4 linked regions of the Caenorhabditis elegans genome follow. The protein of the gene in region 4 interacts with the protein of the main gene of each other region in a pairwise test. Each region holds a gene or a part of one and is shown on either strand. Other genes may lie near its edges. The genes, in order: C14F11.4, hpo-34, frm-1 and lec-1.

Evidence for each region.
Region 1: the proteins of lec-1 (region 4) and C14F11.4 interact in a two-hybrid assay, tested with the Caenorhabditis elegans proteins (2 studies listed by BioGRID).
Region 2: the proteins of lec-1 (region 4) and hpo-34 interact in a two-hybrid assay, tested with the Caenorhabditis elegans proteins (2 studies listed by BioGRID).
Region 3: the proteins of lec-1 (region 4) and frm-1 interact in a two-hybrid assay, tested with the Caenorhabditis elegans proteins (2 studies listed by BioGRID).

Annotation. Positions count from the first base shown.
Region 1 is NC_003284.9:6,230,406-6,234,954, reverse strand, and holds C14F11.4 (AIP3 domain-containing protein), read left to right. Parts: upstream 1-1,906; 5' UTR 1,907-1,982; coding exon 1,983-2,045; intron 2,046-2,257; coding exon 2,258-2,380; intron 2,381-2,426; coding exon 2,427-2,495; intron 2,496-2,594; coding exon 2,595-2,699; intron 2,700-2,743; coding exon 2,744-2,887; intron 2,888-2,935; coding exon 2,936-3,028; intron 3,029-3,072; coding exon 3,073-3,203; intron 3,204-3,337; coding exon 3,338-3,627; intron 3,628-3,691; coding exon 3,692-3,828; 3' UTR 3,829-4,049; downstream 4,050-4,549. Other genes in the region: hsp-43 (SHSP domain-containing protein), read left to right, coding at 19-93, 143-729, 779-885, 1,020-1,094, 1,358-1,447, 1,507-1,628; lite-1 (High-energy light unresponsive protein 1), read left to right, coding at 4,254-4,329.
Region 2 is NC_003284.9:11,516,029-11,521,064, forward strand, and holds the start of hpo-34 (ZM domain-containing protein), read right to left. Parts: upstream 3,039-5,036; 5' UTR 2,990-3,038; coding exon 2,962-2,989; intron 2,918-2,961; coding exon 2,817-2,917; intron 2,760-2,816; coding exon 2,706-2,759; intron 2,494-2,705; coding exon 2,413-2,493; intron 2,362-2,412; coding exon 2,296-2,361; intron 2,253-2,295; coding exon 2,152-2,252; intron 2,095-2,151; coding exon 1,977-2,094; intron 1,931-1,976; coding exon 1,826-1,930; intron 1,779-1,825; coding exon 1,677-1,778; intron 1,631-1,676; coding exon 1,523-1,630; intron 1,477-1,522; coding exon 1-1,476.
Region 3 is NC_003279.8:14,894,313-14,898,955, reverse strand, and holds the start of frm-1 (Moesin/ezrin/radixin homolog 1), read left to right. Parts: upstream 1-1,593; coding exon 1,594-1,719; intron 1,720-1,773; coding exon 1,774-1,924; intron 1,925-2,171; exon of another isoform or gene 2,172-2,393; intron 2,394-2,565; coding exon 2,566-2,963; intron 2,964-3,519; coding exon 3,520-3,770; intron 3,771-4,096; coding exon 4,097-4,263; intron 4,264-4,312; coding exon 4,313-4,380; intron 4,381-4,643.
Region 4 is NC_003280.10:13,195,323-13,200,254, reverse strand, and holds lec-1 (Galectin), read right to left. Parts: upstream 3,310-4,932; 5' UTR 3,147-3,309; coding exon 3,102-3,146; intron 2,222-3,101; coding exon 1,646-2,221; intron 1,014-1,645; coding exon 777-1,013; 3' UTR 542-776; downstream 1-541. Other genes in the region: btf-1 (BTAF (TBP-associated factor) homolog), read right to left, coding at 1-84. UniProt on the Caenorhabditis elegans protein: Binds galactose.

The sequences.
Region 1 (4,549 bases), on a different chromosome or scaffold from region 4:
TTTTTTTTTGCATTTCAGTTCTCCCGTGACGTCGACAGTTGGTGGAAGGATTGGCCAACCGATTGGCCCCGTATGGACGCCGTCATGCCAAGAGTAATAATTCAAATCGCATGAACAGAAACACATCGAAACTTTTTTGCAGTTTTCCAGTCAACTTGATCGCATGGATCGCAACTGGAGGAGTGATCCATACTGGATGAATCTCTACCCAAGATGGGCTGAGCCAATCTTCAAGGAGGGAATTGACGTAAACTCCAATGTGGTTAATGATGATCGTAGATTTGCCGTTGACATGGATTGCTATCAATTCCGTCCTGAAGAAATTCAAGTGAAAACTCTTGATGATACTCTGATGATTGAGGGAAGACATGAGGATATTCGTGATAAAGATAACTTCACCAAAATGTACTTTGTCAGAAAGTACCAACTTCCAAGAGACGTAGACTTCAACTCGATTCAAAGTAGTATTGATGCCAAAGGACGTCTTCAAGTTGAGGCTGGAAAATTCAACAACATGGCATTGCAAGGTCGCGAGCGTATGATCCCAATCGAAGGAGCCGGGCACCATTCACCAAGATTTGAAAATGGAACACTCCGTTCGCAACGAGGACCAAACTCGCCAATTCATGTCCAGACTGAGCACGACGGGAGGAGCGTGTCTAGCAGAAGTGGATCGCGATTGAATGATAGTCCAGGATCGAGAGACGTGTATTCTTCTCATTCTTACAGGTAATCCTACAGATAATGATAGTGAGTATCTGAAAATAAAAATTTTCAGCTACCACCGCAGCGACTCTCGCAATCGTCTCTCCCCAAATGATGTTAACATCACTAGAAATGACAACCGAACATATAGCCCAGTCACTCCTCGTATCACAACAAGTGGTAAGTTTTTGAAAATACATAGTTAATTCAAATTTTCCAACTTTCCAAAACACTGCTTTCTGTCGTGTTCTCTTTCCACATTTCATTTTTCTTTCTATTTCTCTTTTCTATCTAGATCCCATAATTACCTTCAGAGCGGACAGTAACACCGGAACAGCGGTCGCCGGGTCGAAAAGCGTTCGAAACCATTCGAAACAATTTTGAGCGAGGTCATTTTTGCAATTTCGCACATCGCGTTTCTCTTTTTTAGTTAATTTACACACATTTCACACGAATTACTTCCCACTTCCCTCATCACAATTAGAGTAAACTTCCAACAGTTTACTGACAATACTTTGGATTTTCTCATCAATCACAAATTAACTACAACATTAACATGTTGCGCCTTTGGTCAAAAATGATCGTTAATGACACATTATTTGTTGAAAACTTGGATTTTGAAAATTCGAAAGTTTTAAAATTGGAATTTTAGGGTCATATAATACTGCTGGAAATGCAAATCTTCACGAGGAGCGTTCAAGCTCTCGCGCTCAGTCTCATCGCTCAGAAAGTCGCAATGGAGGTGAGTTTTCGCTATACATTGAGGGTTCTTCAATCAACTGAAGTGGTAAAATTTTTCAGGATACCGGGTCGAGTCACCAGTGAGCACTACAACTGGAATTCTTCGTAATGGAAACTCGGACTCACCAAACTCAACTCAACGCGAGTACCGATCAATTCAAATTCTCCGCAAGACATATTAATTGGACCAAAAACCTTATGCTTTTACTCATACCCGTTCTCCTTCAAAACTTCACAAAATTCTGCCTACAGCTTTTAAAACAAAACAATATATTTTCTGATGCTTCCATATACTCTATTCACAGCTTTTCCACTTTCAAATGTACACCTACTATTATACATAAACATTTATGCTTTTTGTTTACTAATTTTTAGTACGATTTTGTTGGTTTCAAATCTAGAACTTGAGGTGAGAAAAATATGATGATATAGAAAAGATGAAAAGAAAAATGATGGAGCCACAAAAAAAAACAACAAAATACAATCATTTCTCACTTTGATAATACAATCCATTCGACGCTTCTTTTCTATCGATCATGTCCCGTTATCCACCGCTGGTCACCAAAAAAGAAATCATCTACCGGCGTTTTATTGATGATGTGAGTTTAGTCTTAAAAACTAAAGAAGTTATTATTAAAATCGAATTAAAAACAACGATAATTTTCAGATATATATATATATATATATATATATATATTTAAAATGCAATTTAGAATAATAACTTTTTGATAATTGATTGCAAAAATTAAATTTTGACGAAAATTCTAAAACTCCAGTTATTCAAAGTACCAGAAACAATTTTTATTTGTAGCATAATGAACGTTTCGACAATATCGTGAGAAACCCTACATCATATCCTCCAAGAGCTCCAAAACCAGAACGTCCGCAAAATTTGGTTGTAAGTCACAACTATCACTCTGACGTGGAAGCTGAGGTGAGCATTACTCTGCAAAAAATTTGTTTCAACATTTTTGTTTCAGTACCAACTCTCAAAAATCAACAAAAAGTTGGATCGTATTATTGAAATTCTTCGGAGCCCATCGACCAAGGTATGTGCACAAACACAGTTGTATTGTTCTTGCACTAAACCGTCCGAAATGCTTACTTTTTATTCTTTCTTTCTTCTTTTTTTGAAACTTTTCATTCAGAAAACTTCCCAAGAGCCTCCAATCATTGACGTCGCACGCCAGGAGCAAACACGTCAATACAAGGATATTTGCGATAGGCTCGACAAATTGGAGGCTGAGTTAACTGTAAACATACATTGGAAAACAAACCAGAATACCAGATGTTTTAGGGTAAAACTCAGTTTGTTGCGCCTCTCCAAAATGAAATTTCATTATTGACAAATAAAGTTCACGAATTGGCCCAAATACAAGAGGGTTTAAGAGTGAAGCTAGTTTCGAGCAACATTGCAGGAGAAGACATCGATGAACTTTTGGTATGAAAGATGTTAAAAGGAAATCTTCAAAAAAAAACTTTTTTTCAGAAAGTCATCAATGAGACCAGAAGAGATATGGAAGAGAAAATTGGGAATATCAAGCAACTGAGTGACGGAAATTACATTCACCTGGAAGATAAAGTATGCCAAATCATATAGAACCCAACCATAAAACTTGTTTCCAGCTTGATGGATATCTTCGCAACCAGCATGGCATTCAACTCCAGGTAGACCATCTAATGCAGCTTCTGACTCATAGCTCTCGTCCGGCATCTGCTATTGGCTCAAGACCCGGTTCAGCTGCGGAAAAGATGAGGTAAATGATTGAATATATGCATTTATATGTACATATAGGTAACTCCTTATCTATAAAAAAGTTGATTTTATTTAAATTCCAAAATCCATATGTCGCATACCTCTGATCACCACCATGACACAAAATGTTTTTAGTAGTGTTTCCCGCTCATCGTCAAAAAGTTCAAACTTGAAAGCCAACCTTGTCATGCCAACTCGTCGTTCTCCACCACCGAAAACCCCAAGTGAAGCTAGCTACGCATCGACTCGCCCAAAAACTGAGCGTTCGTCATCTCACAAATCGGCAAGCACGGTCACATCATCTGCAACTATCACAACATTGGACAGTGCCAAAAGAAAGCCTCTCGCAAAAAATGCTTCACCAAAGCCACCAAGAAGTCCGGTGTTAGAAGTTTTGGAAAGAACAAAAAGTATTGAAACTATGAGTAAGTTTGAATTTTTTTAAATTTAGTTAAAGAGTTTAGAATAATTTATTTAAACCATTTCCAGATGAAATTCACACTTCTCAAAAGCTCGACGAATTGGCCATCGAAACATCATCTTCTGGCAGTTACATCGCTCCTCTACCCATCAACGGACGTCGTGATTCTCAACCAGCTAACATTTTGCTAACGCAGAAATATTAGGATATTAAATAATGATTGTTTTTTGCAAATGCTTTGGGATATGGGGTATTTCAATCAATTTTTCTAACCTCCGATAACTTTATTTTTTGTCGTCACAACTATATATTGACGCATGCTAGCTTCACATTATACACATGAATTGTCATCATTGCATAGCTACCGTAATATTGAATTCTAATTTTAAAGCTAATGAAGAAAATCAAACGACGCGTTAAATGAAATAGGGCGCACCAAAAAACAAGGGTCGAGTCAGAGTGAACTTTGCTCACAAAATTGGAAAATTCGGGAGCAGAATCAGTTTGAGACTGGCGGGACCTTTCGGAAGAAAAGGCGGTGCAAACATTGAGGTCATCATTCTAGAAAGCGTTTCTTTCGAAAAAAAGTCACAAGAAGACAACTCATTGTCAATTCTCGTAAAAAACAACATGCCACCACCATCATCACATTCAAACATTTTTCATTCGACGTTCAAGCACACCGTTAAAGAAACAATGGCAAATGGTAGGTCATAAATGTGCCCCTTGGCTACAGAGTTATAGACATACTTCTTGAAGTATAATATGTTCCTCGGCCATGCAATATTGGAACAGTGTTGAATTTCATTATTTTGTTTTCCTGAAATCACTTGTTTCATAATAGTTTGCCAATATAACGCTCTGATGTATTCTGGTAGTACCATAAGTAGGAACAGTTCCGAATGTGAGTTTTAAAATAAAAAATC
Region 2 (5,036 bases), on a different chromosome or scaffold from region 4:
ATTCACTTTTTGTTGATGATCCTCCGTTGTTTTTCTGACAAGTGGAACATAGTGATGTTCAGGATGAACTACTTTTAAATCCAACGATTGAGAGCGTTTCTCAAGAGGAACATAATGATGTTCCCTGATTATTTTTCTCTGATCTTTCACATTCGCTGGTGAATCTGGGAGATAATGGTGCGCTCTTTCAACACTACGACTCTTTCTTTCAGCTTCCAAACTGTTTGGAATAAAGCTGTGATGGTGGAAACTTTCTCGCTTGTTGTTAAACAGCGATGGTGGCGTAGATGGGACAAAATGGTGAGCCCTGTTGATTTCTTTAAAATAGTCAATCGTTTGAACTTGCGGACTTTGTGCAATCGCACTTCCATCAGCTTTTCTAATTTGTCTTTCCACGTAATGATGACGAGGGTTGATGTGTCGATACTCTGTTATCACCTTGATTTGGGGAACATAATGGTGGCGCTGATCGTCAGTATAGAAAGCTGGCGAATGGGAGAAATGTTCAACAGTTGGCGTGTCATATACATGGTAATCGACTAGTGGCAGCGGTGGTGCTTGCTTGTGGTAGGAGGAGGAGGCGTGGTAAGAGGATGAGGATTTTTTAGTGTTTTCAGATTTATCAACTATCTCATAAGAATCGAAAGGAACGTCATAATGATTCTCTATTGCTTTAGAAGAAGAAGAAGAGATGAAGTTATCGCCGACCTGGAATTGCGTTTGCTCAACGACGACGTCTTGGTGTTTGTGGTGATGGTGTTGATCAAGATGCTTGTGGTGCTCATGCTTCTTCATTTCAAAGACAGGCGACAATGGTGGTGGAGCACCATGCTCAAACTTTCTGCGAAGGGAGCTAACACCTATAATATCAACAGATGAAGAATTATCCGCTCGGATATGAATACCTTCAGATCCTGAGCGGACATCTTCCAGAACAACAGTAGTAGACTTGACGATATCCTTTTGCTGATGAATCTCCGTTTCGTACGCGTTATAGATATGACTCTCTTCGTGGGTACGTGGTGGCTTAACTGGGATTGGAGCCACGTAGGCCATCACTGGGGGCCTAACCTCAACCTCTTCCTCCTCCAGCACCGCAGCCGGACGCAACTCCTCAGTAATTTTAGGCCCAACATTATGTGCTAACATTTGGCGACTTTGGTAAGTGGAGGCAGTGTTAGAACGGGACTGTTTCACATTGGAGGTGAAGGTATGGGTAACATGGGATTCATGGTGGTGGTGGTGGTGGTCATGATCATGATGGGTTATGGAGTGTTGATCCTCTCCGAAATCGACCGATAACACATTATGGTTCTCATGGACGATTTGATAAGGCTCGTAATGCTGTTCAATAACATGTTCATGAACAACTTGCGGAACTTGTTCCTCCAACTTGTGGTGATGGTCCTCATGAGTGTCCACATATTCCACCTTCTCAAAACCAAACGAATCCTCGCTATGAGCATCAAAAGCGCCCTGAACAAAGCTGTATTAATAAAAAACACAAACTCTTGACACTTACGACAACTGATGGTGGTTGGTAGTAAGCTGGAGCAGCAAAGTCCACAAATTCAACTTCGTGACTTCTGTGCAAAACATTGACACCATTGTGAGAATCGACAACTCCTCCCTGAAAGCAATTCACAGTTTAACTGATATGTCATTTAAAAACGTACAACAGCAATCGAGTGAGTCAACTTTGATGGAGCAATAGAGTCCTCGCTGTCACTTTGAATGTGAACTGAGGCAGGAACAATGCTGGAAACCACTGATTGATCCTGAAAAAGAAATTATAGGTGTTTTAAGTTTGAAAATGTTTATTTACTCTTCCATGAAGATTTTTAAATTGCTCAATCACTGCGTCATGCTCGAATGATTGTCCGACAGCAAGTGGGGTTGGAGCTTCAGATGCAACATGTGCTCCGACCACCTGAAAAATCATGAATAAATTGTTTTTTAATCTTTGTAAAACTGACGATCGGCTCATTCACAAGAGTTCCCTCGGAAATAGTCGACTCGCTGTCATGAGTCAAAGCGGAATGATGGGAATGTTGGGAGTGATGCGAATGATGCGAAGCGACGGAATGGTGGGACCTGTAGGTGTGTGAAAATTATTTATTATTTCTTCAGTAGAGTGAGCTTAAGATATACCCTGATCTGGAAGAAGCAACTGATGGTGCCTTTCCAACAACAGCTTCCCCAACAACAATCGGAGGCATGTCGTACTGTGGGATAGGTGGAAGATCGTAGTGCTGAAAAAGGCGTTTATAGTTTTCATTGTTCGAACTGAAATACCTGAGCGGATTTTTGAGAAACGCTAGAATGAACAGAAACTGATGTGGCTTTTGACATTGCGGACACCTAAATAAATGCTCTTTTTCAAAATAATGAAAGATTAATTTTAATATATACCTCCGACCGCTGATCTTCAGTATCCACAGTTGGACGACGTTGAATAACGGCATCATGACCAACAACGTTTCCTACGATAACCTGAAAAAATATTTTTTGTTCATTTTCCAACAAAATTGTTCTTAAATCAATCGATACTGTCATTCTTTTTCGAACACGGAAATCAAAGAGCACCAACTGATTTTCAGTTTTGATGAGCAAAAAATTGATAAGTTATCAAATCAGAAGTAAAAAAAATCAGATTATAATTGAAGTTAAAGTAATCTTTACAATGTAAATAAAAATTTGCTTACCCCAGAAGAGGAGAATTCCATATGCTCGTGGTGAGATTCAACATGATGACTCTCCTGAAATTCAATAAAATAACTAATATCAACAAAATAACTGTTCAAAAATTTTCTTACTTGGTGAAAAACAGTGTGAGATTCTTGATGATGCTCCATGATGGTAGTTGTTTGTCCAACAGCAGGAAGCGTGACAGCAGAAAAGACTTGGTCCATCAAACCTTTTTAAAACTGGAATTGGGAAATGTGTTAATGTCATACTTACTATCACTGGCATTCCTAGTCTCCATCATTTTTTCTTCGGTTCTTTTTTCCAATCCACGAACAATAGGTAACCTAAAATAGCTGAGAATTAAATTTGAAAAGGTTGTTAGATCATTATTATTATTATTATTGTTGCGAAAAAAAGTAAAACGCGAAGATTGGTTTCAAAAAGCAGTCGGGCTCTTAACTCTGCTACAAACGGCAAACACGGCGCCGATGATAACTGCCATTTGATGTAAGATGATAAACCACGACGACAAGGGGAAAGTGAGGGTAGAGAACAATTTCGAAACGACCGGTATGATAGTATGTGACACGCAGCACACTTTTTGGAGCACGTTTAATTTTGATAAACGCAGAGAAATTTATAAATGATTCTTTGCCGGACACATTACATGATAGCATAATAATTTTTTGTGACTTATTGGGGGACTTCCATTTAGACACGCTTAGAACATGAGAACATATTTTAATGTCAGAAAAGGAAACATAAGTTCAAAATTAAACTAAAATTATGGGAGAGAAATGGGTCTATATTCCAACTGAATTCCATGCTGTTTGAAGCAAGCGTTTTATAGTTTTTTAACCTGTCAGTGTTCCAGTTGGGAGGTAACAAGCATTGCACTTGCAGTGGAAATTATAGCAGATGATATTTGCTAAAGTGACAAAGAGAAAAAGAATGTCGATGTTTTTAATGTTTACAGTCTGCCAGTACCCGAAAATATTTGCTCTGAAAGGACGTTAAGTCATCTGAACGAATACAGTTTTTTTCATACATCTGAATTTATTTCAAGACACAAGAAAACATCTTATTAAATGCTCAATTACAAATATGATGAAATCCTACATTTTAGTTAAACGCACATTCTAATTTTGATAAACACTATATTTCCCGAGAAAACGACAATGACAAATTAAAGATAAAAATTTAATTTTAAATCAAAAACTTATCCAAAATGTTTCTGTTAGTGTGATATGTTTTATTTGACTGGAAACTGAAGCTTGACTAACAAAATTGTCATGTTGAGACAAGTAAAAGTTTTCTATACATTTAAAATTATATAATTATTTAGATATCATTTGTAATTTGTATAACACATTATTACATTGCAAAACTAGTAAGTAAGAATTTTTAAGAGTTGCAAAAAATAATCAGACACAAAATGATACATTTTTAAAGTTACAATTCCAAACAGTGAAAAACGCAGAAACGGACTATGACTTTGTGATGCCATACCCAAAAAATTCGAGAATTGGATATAATGGATATGTTTGAAAAATAATGTTCAAATCTTCGAATATCCTACCGAATTTGAGTTATAACGAAAATTAATGTTTTGTTGGTCGGCATCGAACTTTTCCTTGCAATCCTGTGAACACTCGGGAAATTAGTTTTTCGTGCCATAATAGAATACGGCTGAAATTGGTTTAATAAAACATTAATGGCAAATTTTTCAACATATCATTTATTTTTTGTTTCAGATACAGTTAAACATATTTACTGATTTTTATTTTCGGGCCATTTTTATTTTTCTACAGTCTGCGTTTCATCTAATAGTTCCATAATCTGTCCATTTCTACAGCAACATGCACAATTTTTGTTCAACTGTGAATAAAAATAGAGGAAACAAATCTTTCGTCAATCTCTATGCTTGGTTGTATAATCTTCGTGCGCTGACAATGTTGCCATGGAAATTTATCTTTCTCCGTCTCTCTTGAAAAAATAATGTTTTAAGCCAAAAGTGTTTTTAAATAATTAATTAAAATCATCTATGAAACCAAAAACAGGTCTTTCAACTCTTAAGATGGTCGTCTTTATCAAAAAAGTGTCTGGAAATGGCAATGTGTATTTGGTATTTGTAAGTAAAACGCCAACCGTAGGAAAAGGGTTTAAATCATTTCCTGATAGTTCTGAAATATTTGAATATCACAAAAAAAGTAGAACAAGCTGAAATTGTTACTAATTTGGATATTGGAAAAAAGTTTTCACGATTTTGTAATTTTTTTTAGCATGGCACAAAAATTTTATAACTTTCGAAAAAATGGAGCTCCTAGTGCTCCTAGTGTAGCATTTAC
Region 3 (4,643 bases), on a different chromosome or scaffold from region 4:
GTTCTCTCTCTTCTTTGCTATTGCGAAAAATTGTCTCATTGCAACACCTCTCTCGCCTTCATCTTTTCTGCCTCCGAATTCCCACTACTGTGATTGACTGAGATGAAAAGAATAGAATGAAACAGTGTAATAAACTAAACGTTTTTGTTTTTTTTTTCTGCTGTTTTGTGGCCAACACAACGCCTGTTGGTTTCGTCTTCTTCATCCTGATGGCGGTGGCGAGAATAAGAGAGGAGAGCAACAAATAGCACAGAAATAGCAACAGTTGTGTGTGCACCTCTGCTATCAATTGAAGCTCTCCGTAAGCATTATTTTTTGCTGTTTTGATATATTGGAATTCTTTTGAAACTATGTGAACAATTTTTTATTGTGATATTTGCCAATAATGTGTATTTTGGGTCTTGTAGCGACCAACATGACTGACAATGAGAAAATTACTCTATCGAAAACTTCTAATTAAAAATACTAATCGTGATTTCACTTTATCAAGTTCACAAGCTTTTTAGAAACGTGTAATAAACGCCTCAAGAATGTATTCGGTTGGGTCTCGCCACGATAAAAAATTGTGGTAGCAATTTTCTATTTATTCGGGATTTCGTGAGCAATTTTTGTAATCATCACTTTAATTTTTTCTCGATGTTTTCCTATTTTTTCCTGAACTAAAAAATACGAATTACTTATTGAAAAGCTAACGAAAATCAAGGAAAATCGTTAAAAACTAATAAATTCCTGAAAAAAATAAAAATTTCCACCATAAACGTTTTCGTCGCGGCGAGACCCACTCGAACATAACTATGCGCCTTTAAGTTTACTGTAGACAAATTTTGTCCGTTTTTTCGATGTTTTCCTCTATTTTTTTCTATTTTCCTACCATTTATTGTATTTTAATTAAAAAGTAATTAAAAAGCTAAAAAATTAACTTATTCCCTGCAAACTTTCGACACGAAATCTTCATTTCTCAAAAATTAGTGTTATTCGCGCTGCGAATCCACATTTTCCACTTTTTCACGTTCTCTGGCATTTATAAATTTGTTTTTGTTTTTCAGAAGATAAAAACGTAAAAATTCACGTTATAAATTCCCATTAAAATCGTCAAAGCCAAAATTTTGAATTCGTATTTATTTCTAGTAAAAAAAAAGTATTCTTCAACTTTGAATGTAAATTTAGTTAACTCTTCCACTGTTTTTCTCCAATACTCTTTCTTTTTTCATTTCCACCTTCAAATGATCCTAATATTTCATGTTTTCTCACCACAATCTGCGGGTACCGGAGAAAAGGTGTAATTTTTCTTTATTGTCCTTCTCTACTATGCCTCCCAGAATTTATTGCGTTTTTTATGCCGGGCATTGGCTACTTTTTCTCCCAACAACACCAATTCATCCCTTCTGTCTTTTTTTTTCGCAGAAAAACAGAACAAAATGTGGCATTTCGAATAGAGCGCGTTTGCATTACTCCCCCCCCTCCTCCCTGTCGGCCGGGCAATTCAAATTTTAACACTTTCTTTTGCTCTATAAACTTTTAAAACTTCTATTTTCAATGAAAGTTGCAGTTTTTTTTCTAATTTTTATTAATTTCCTCCACATTTCAGAGCAAATGGGTACCGATAGAGATCCCGGAGACCAGAAACACCCAACGACTAGCCAGCAGCCACGAGATTCGAAAATGCAGTTGGCAAAAGTTCTTCTTCCCGACGGAGTTCAAAAGGAGTTTGAGGTTAATGTAAGTTTTTGAAGAATTTCACCGGAAAAACTGCTAAATTCTAAATTTTTACAGAAAAACTCGGAAGGAGAAGCACTTTTCCGACAAGTGACACGAGATCTATCGATTGAGGAACGCGAATACTTCTCGCTGTGCTTCTACGACAAAGATGAGGGAACACGACATTGGCTATATAATGATAAGAATATTGCGAAACAGATTAAAGGTAAAAATGAGAAAAAAAAGAAAATTTTGGTTAAAAATGTGGATTTTCTTCACAAAAAGCTAATTTCCCCCGCTTTTTCAAAAAAAAAAAACTGCCTTGAAATTTTTGGAAAGCTGTTTCAAGTAAATAAAAATATTTCTCTTATTCGGAAAAGAAATTGAATCGATTTCATGTCCAAAGTTGTATTAATTTTCCTTTTTTTTTGTAAATTCCCTGATGAATTACAAGAATCTAGGAATATTATCCTTAAAAATATAATAAAAAACTCTAACCCGCGGCCACGTGTCGATTTACGCAGCTCGTGTATTCCTCGAAGAAAAATAGTTTTTCTACATTTTTCGCAAAGTTTTCTCAAATCTTCTGTGTATTTCAAAGAAAATCGAAAAATCTGATAATTTTAATTTTGAAATCGAGTCTTTTTTAAAAGTTTACTGATTTTTTATAGAGCGAAAGCGGAAAATATTGAAAGTTGGAATTTTTGTTTCAAAAAAAAAAATTAGTCTGAAAAACATCGAAATCTCGAACAATTTTCAACCAAAAACTGCGTAAATCAACACATGGCCGTGTAAGAGGTTTCCCGCGGCCACCTATTTCATTTTCTTTTTTAAATCAATTTTTCAACCAACTGTCAAATTTTGCAGGTCTTCCTTGGGAATTCTCGTTCGAGGTCAAATTCTACCCGACCACACCTACAACGATCGTCGACGATCACGCTCGCTACTACGTCTTCCTTCAACTCAGACGTGATCTCCTCACCGGACGTCTTCCAGCTACTGCCGACACACATTCTCTTCTCGGATCGTTTGTCGCTCAAATCGAGTTCGGTGATGCTCCAGCAGAGATGACGGATGCCTACGAGCAGTTCATTGTGGCGTCCAAGCTGGTGCCATCAGCACAAGCGAATCCGGAAACATACAAGAAGATTGTCGATTTGCACAGAGAGATGCGCGGACAGACGCCTTCTGAAGCTGAAAATCAATTTTTGGATCACTGCAAGCACCTGGCTCTCTACGGAATCCACCTTTTCAAGGCAATCTCCGTATGTTTTTCGACAAAAAAAGGTTCCTGCTCGAGTACTCCACTAGGAAAATATTTTTTCTTAAATTAACATCTAAACTTCTATCATTTTCTTCTTTTAGTGCTCATTCTTCAAGTCCTTAATTTTGAAGAAATATTTTTAGTGGTTTATGAAAAAAATAGTAGTATTTACTTTTGTCTAAAATAATTAATTTGTTAAGTATTCTCTTTCAATTTATCAGCTTGGTGATTTTTAAGCTAATTTTGAAATTTCCGCCAATTTCTTGAGGGTGATCAAATTTTATTCACTGAAAAGTGTTTGGCAAATTGAAAAACGGTGTTTTAACTTAAAAATAAAAAGAAAATCAGGAAAACTGGTAAATTTAGCCAGTCAACGCATTGGATGTTTGAATCGAATTATTATTAAATTTGAATGAAAATTTGTCATATTCGGTCATTAGGGTTTTCTGTCACTTAAAGCACAAAATGTTTTGACTCTGTTCCACCTGTAAAGGAGTAAAAACTATTCGAAAATGCCCAAATTAGCTTTGTTTTTATAATTATAAAATATCTTTCAGGATAAGGACAAGAAGCCTGTGGACGTTGGAATCGGTGCCGCCGGAATAAACATTTACCAAGACGAGCAAAAGACGCATTCCTTCAGCTGGCAGAATATTATCAAAATCGGATATCGTCGTACTTACTTCTCGATAAAGCTCAAGGCAGGGACTGTCGAGAAGAATGAGAAGACATTGTACTTCAAGTTGCCAAACCATGTCGCCGCAAAGAGGACTTGGAAGTGTGCAGTCGAACATCACACTTTCTTTAGGTAATTTTTGAGAATAACTTATCTCAAAAACTGAATTTCTAAAAGAGAAGTTTAAAAAATACGTGAAGATTGCCTAAAATTATCTAAAAATTTCGGATTTTTCATCTTGCAGGAGTCGAAAAATAATTTTTGTTCTAATTTTCGAATTCCTGCTCGATGGATCAATTTTTTTTCAACTGTTTAACTGAAATTGATTTTTGTTTTGTTGAATTGTCGAACATGCTTTTCCAAAATTACGATTAAATAATTATCTCTGTCGTTTAAATTTAATTTCGACGGGTCTGAAAAAATTATTTCTTAAAATTAAATAAAATCTTTAATTTCAGACTGATCCAACCTGAAGACAAGACACATAAATCATTCTTCAACTTTGGCTCCCAGCGGTTCCGCTATCAAGGACGCACTCAATTCCAGACAAAGATTGCCTCGCAGATGTTTGATAAACCATCGACAGTGGACAGAGCGCCATCTGCAATGTCTCAACCAATAGCAAGTGAGTTTTTGATTACAATAGTTGAAATACATTATTAATGAATTTACAGCAGCCGAGAATCAGAAACTTCAAACACTCAATCTCACGGATTCGGAATTGGAGCAGCGCCAATTTGAGGTTAGTTTAATTGGTTTCCAGTGTGCTTTTCTATGTTTTTGTTCTAATATTATTTTGCATGAAACGCTTTTTAGAGCGCTTTTTTGTGTTTTCTATCGCTCACATCACAATAACTGCTTTTCAAATTTTGGAGAAAAACCACCGAAAACCCCTCAAGCACAAACACAAAATTCACATGTTTCTTCTTTCTACTCAAAAATTTTCAAACTTTTCCGCTAAAACGTCAACTTTTTTCTTCATAGTTCTTCCCCTTATTCTTCTAA
Region 4 (4,932 bases):
GGCCGCTTCATTTCGAACATTCGGATTTTTCGCTTCGAGTAGAGGGTCAAGCTGAAGAAGACGAGCCGACGTGTCGGCGCTCATCGGAAACTGAAAATTTTCAATTTTTCCGGCTTATTTGAGAGAAAAAACAGCGAAAAATGCATTTAAATCCAAAAATCCAAAAAAAAATGGGAGACACCACGCATTCCAGGGAACAAAAATCCTGAGGAAAACTTTAGAAACCCGAGTTTATAGCAGGATTATTCAGGATTATTCAAGATTTCGAGCTTCACATTATACATTATAATAATTATTGATTTAACAATAAGAAGAAAACTAAATTTTGTAGGCAAACCTGATGGGAAACACGCGCGGTTTTCACGATTCGACTTCCGTGCAATTTGTAGTGACTCGAGGAAAACGCGCTCTCCTGGACAAAAACGGCGGTACTTTCAAATATAGTTTTTTCGAGTTTTCGCTTACTTTTCGCGTTTTTTTCGCAGAACTTTTCATGATGATCCGCTTTCAAAATATGAAACCTGAAATGACAACGAGAAAATCTGCTATCCAATTTTATTAAAATACAATGTGGGGGGTGAGAAAAGATACAAAAAGAAAAACGCGGGATTACAGTTCAGTTGCCGGTGCGAAATAATAGAGAAATGATTCTTTTTGGGGGGGGGGGGGGGGGAGAGGGGCAGTAGACTTTTGGAAGATTGATCAGTGAGAGAGAGAGAAATGGGAGAGCTGGATAACAGAAGAAAGAGGGGGAACAGGGGATATCAATACATAATTTATTGGATTTGAATTCCAGACAGCTCAATGTCTCCAGAGATCTGAAGCCCGGCAATGTCGTGTGGATCGGCGCGGTGAGCGAACGAGATGTAGCGTTCTCCGTTGACGAACACCTGGAACGCGTACTCCTCGTTTTGGATGACCAAGTCGAAGCCGACTCCCTTCTCGAATGGGTTCTTTCCCTCGCGCTCCTCATTTCCCCATTCGTTGGCGGCAAGAGAGTTGCGGATGACGTGCTGGAAGAAAGGAAATAAAGAATTTGGTCAAATTTCTATTGAAATCGATTTTTTTTTGTCCTTTCACCAATTTTACCAATAGAAATAGACACATGCAAAACTTTTGTGTCTCATAAAATTGTTTGTTGAAGAGCGCCATATTTGCCCAAATGTAGCAAACAAAATGCGGGTCTTTTTGTGTATGTGTGTGTGAGGCACCACAGAAAGGAGAACAGGTGAACAAGGAGAACACAGAAACCACACCCATTTTTCCGTGCCGCAAGTTTTCCGCAAATTTTGAGGCACCACGTTTTCAGGATCTGGGGCACCGTGCCAACTGCGGTTTTTGCAGTTTTCTCTCGCTGAAAAACGAAACAACGATACTCCGATATGACGCGTCGCGTGTTGTTTAGCGTTCAGAATAATGTTTTTTTGAAATAAAAACTTTTGGAAAACGCTAAACAACACGCATAACATCGGAGCATCGTTGTTTCGTTTTTCATCGAGAGAAAACTGCAAAAACCGCAGTTGGTACGGTTCCAGATCCTGAAAATGTGGTGCCTCTCGCGGCACGGAAAAATGGACGTGGTTCCTGTTCTCCTTTGTCGTGGTTCTCCTTTCTGTGGTGCCTCGTGGCATATATCAACCCTTACCTTCTCATCGAAACGTGGGTTGAAGTGGAACGAGATGTCTCCATTCTTGCGGAGAAGGTTGACGTGGAAGCGCTTGGCCTTCTTCTCAACGGTTCCAAAGACGAGGAGGCTCTTTCCGACTGGAAGTCCGTTGGCGAGTCCGCTCTCGTATGGTACTGGGTAGTACTTTCCTCCCCAGTGAACGTGGTTCAAGTAGAGATCTCCGTCAATCGAGAGGTGAGAGATTGAGGAGAGTGGCAGACGGTGCTCGTAGTCCTTGAACTCCTTGTGGTCGACGATGATCTGGAAGCGATCGTCGTGAGCACGGATGCGAATGTCGAACGAGTCTCCCTTCTTGATTGGGTTCGACTTGCGCTCTTCCTTTCCCCATTCTCCATTCGAGAACGAGTTGAGCACAATTTTGCCCTCATCGAAGCGGACAGAGACGTGGAGTGGCACATCGTTTCCGGAGAAATCCGCGGTCTTCGAGTGAAGGTTGATGGTGAAGCGTTGCGACTCGTCGATCGTCGATCCCTTGACGATGAGCGTCTGTCCGGGCTCGAACTTCTCCTGGAGCACTGAGCGGTATGGTACTGGCTGAAAAATTTAAAAATTTTAATTTTTTAAAAAATTAATTGGATTATTACGGGAACACATTTTTCTGATAATGCGTACTGCACAACATATTTGACGCGCAAAATATCTCGTAGCGAAAACTACAGTAACTCCTTAAATGCCTACTGTAGCGCTTGTGAAATGCCGTAAATCGACACACAAGCGCTACAGTAGTCATGTAATGAACAATGAACTACTGTAGTTTTCGCTACGAGATATTTTGCGCGTCAAATATGTCGCGCGATACGCATTCTCAGAATTTTGTGTTTCGGTAATAGATTTATAAGTAGAGTTTTCTAGAACCATTTCTTCTTCCATATGCCATTTTAAAATGTTCAGTAGGGTAATCATGTAGAAATATATGCTGGGGGGGGGGGGGGACCTCGCGTGTCACACACTGGTGAACAGAATAAGCGAGCAAGAAGCGAGACCCGAAAAAGCGGAAGAGCTGTTATCCAATCTGCATCCACCAATCTTCGCGCTCCCCAGACTTTCATACAGCTGACGACGACAAAAAATGCCTTTTCTACATTGTCTAGTTGCTTTCTATTTTTTAGCTCCATTTTGCTCCATTTTGCACAAAATTTTGTTGTGATGTGCCGCCGAGCAAACACACCAGAAATATGGCGGGAATCTCGAATGTTGATAATGGAACCGAAGGTGTGGGCGAGCAGATAACGAGAGGAATGTGTCACTTTAGTGGCAACCAACAAACTTGGAATGCTCTCCATTTTCGAGCTGGTGTCAGAATGTCCCATGTCAGTTTGATCTCCGAAAAGTTGCAGGAGAAAAAATTCCCGCTTTTTTTTGTAGATCAAACATGGGACAGCCTGACACCCCCATGTATAGAGGCATGCTTTACCTTGTTCTGCTCGTACCAGCGAAGGAATTGAGGAGTGGAAGACATTAGTGTAAAGAGTTGAGCTGAGGAAAACTGAAAGCGATCGTTCAGGACGCGAGTCAAACGAAGAACTGACGACCGGTAAACAGTTTCAACAAAAGCTGAGAGTGTGAGAGGAGAGAGAAACCAGACAGTTGAACAGTCATAACATTCGCAAGCGCCGCCCAATATTGAGTCAGAGAGAGCATGGAATTATGGGAGGGTGACAGCATGTGCGCGAGGCGACATTGAAATGTTTCTTTTTGTGCATCTGTCTGTGTCTCCGACTTCTCGTACAGTCTCTCGCATACGACTTCTCGCCATGATTCATCGTGTCGTTGTAGGCGAAGAAAACAGTGAAATTGAAAAAAGGAACGGAACTTTCTGGAGAGGAAGAGATCGATAATGAGTGTTGGTACAGTTTTCAGCTCGAAATTTTTTTTGTATGATTTGTTGAAACTCAAACAACAAAAGTTTTCGGAGCAAAATCCATGCTCAATATTTGCGTCTTCGCATTACTGTTTACCGCATTTCGAGTCTGGGCGTCACGTGCAAACTTCAACTTCAAAGGCTCGAAATGCACTTCAAAAACCAGGGGGTGGGCGGCAAACGATTTTTTTCCGGCAAATCGGCAAATTGCCGGAATTGAAATTTCCGGCAAATCGGAAAATTGCCGGAATTGAAATTTGCGGAAAATCGGAAAATTGCCGGAATTGAAATTTCCGGCAAACCGGCAATTGCCGCCCACCCCTGCTTCAAACGTTGAAAAGGTGTTGCACAACTAGGGCCAAGGCGAGAAAAAATGTGGCATTGATCTTAGGCAGGTTCTCATGGTGTACTAGTGTTTTGTCCAAATTGCCAAATTGCCAAACTGCCATTTGTTGTTCTATATTCGAGAAAAAGGAGGTTACTACTCGTCGGAAGATTTTCAAGAAGGCACAAGACATCGAAGAGAAAGGACATTCATGATGAGACACGGCTTAACATAGAAGACTGCAGAAGCAATTTGAAATTCGAGTGGTAAGCATCTTAAAGATCAACTGGAAATTGTTTCAAGCTGGAAAAAAGAGATTAAAAATGCCTTTTGAGCTTTTGATGGAAACATTTTGGTCTCACTTTAGCTGAAGACGTTTCTAAATTCGAAGCTTTTCAACCTGATTCTGTAGAATTGCTGCAAACTGGACGTTATGCAAAAATCGTTTCTTTAAAATTGTTCACTTAACGATCAATCATCAGTGTCAAGAACTACAATTTCGAAATCAACTATCAACAAATATATTTTTTGCGGCGTCTGATCTTCCTTCTGATTCAACACGTAGTAGTAGTAGTCCAAACATCGGTGGTGAACTATAGAGGTGACACTTACAGAAACGGGCAAATTCTCCAAAAGTTTCTGTCCTTTCTTTTTCATTATTTCTTACGCTTGACTGGGGCCGCCGCCGCACTTTCATCACCCCCGTACTGATACGGTTTTTTTTCTATTCTTTTCTTTTTTGTTGTTGTTACAACACCGTTAGAAACGAAACTCACGTAGGACTTTGGCTCTTCGGCGGACATTTTTTGCTGGTGGTGGCTTTTCGGTGGTTCCTGAAATTAAAATTGAATTTTAAAAACATGATTATTTAGAAGAAGAAGATGAAAAAGCGAGAAAATTTCCGACGACGACGACGACAATGGCAATAAAAGTGTGGTCTCTGGGCGCAATAGAGAGAGAGAGAGAGAAGGGCAGGAGAGACGCAGCATTTCGTAAATAAAGTCCGAGAGACAACAGACGTGTAAACAAGAGACAAAAGAGCACAGAACGTGTGTGAGA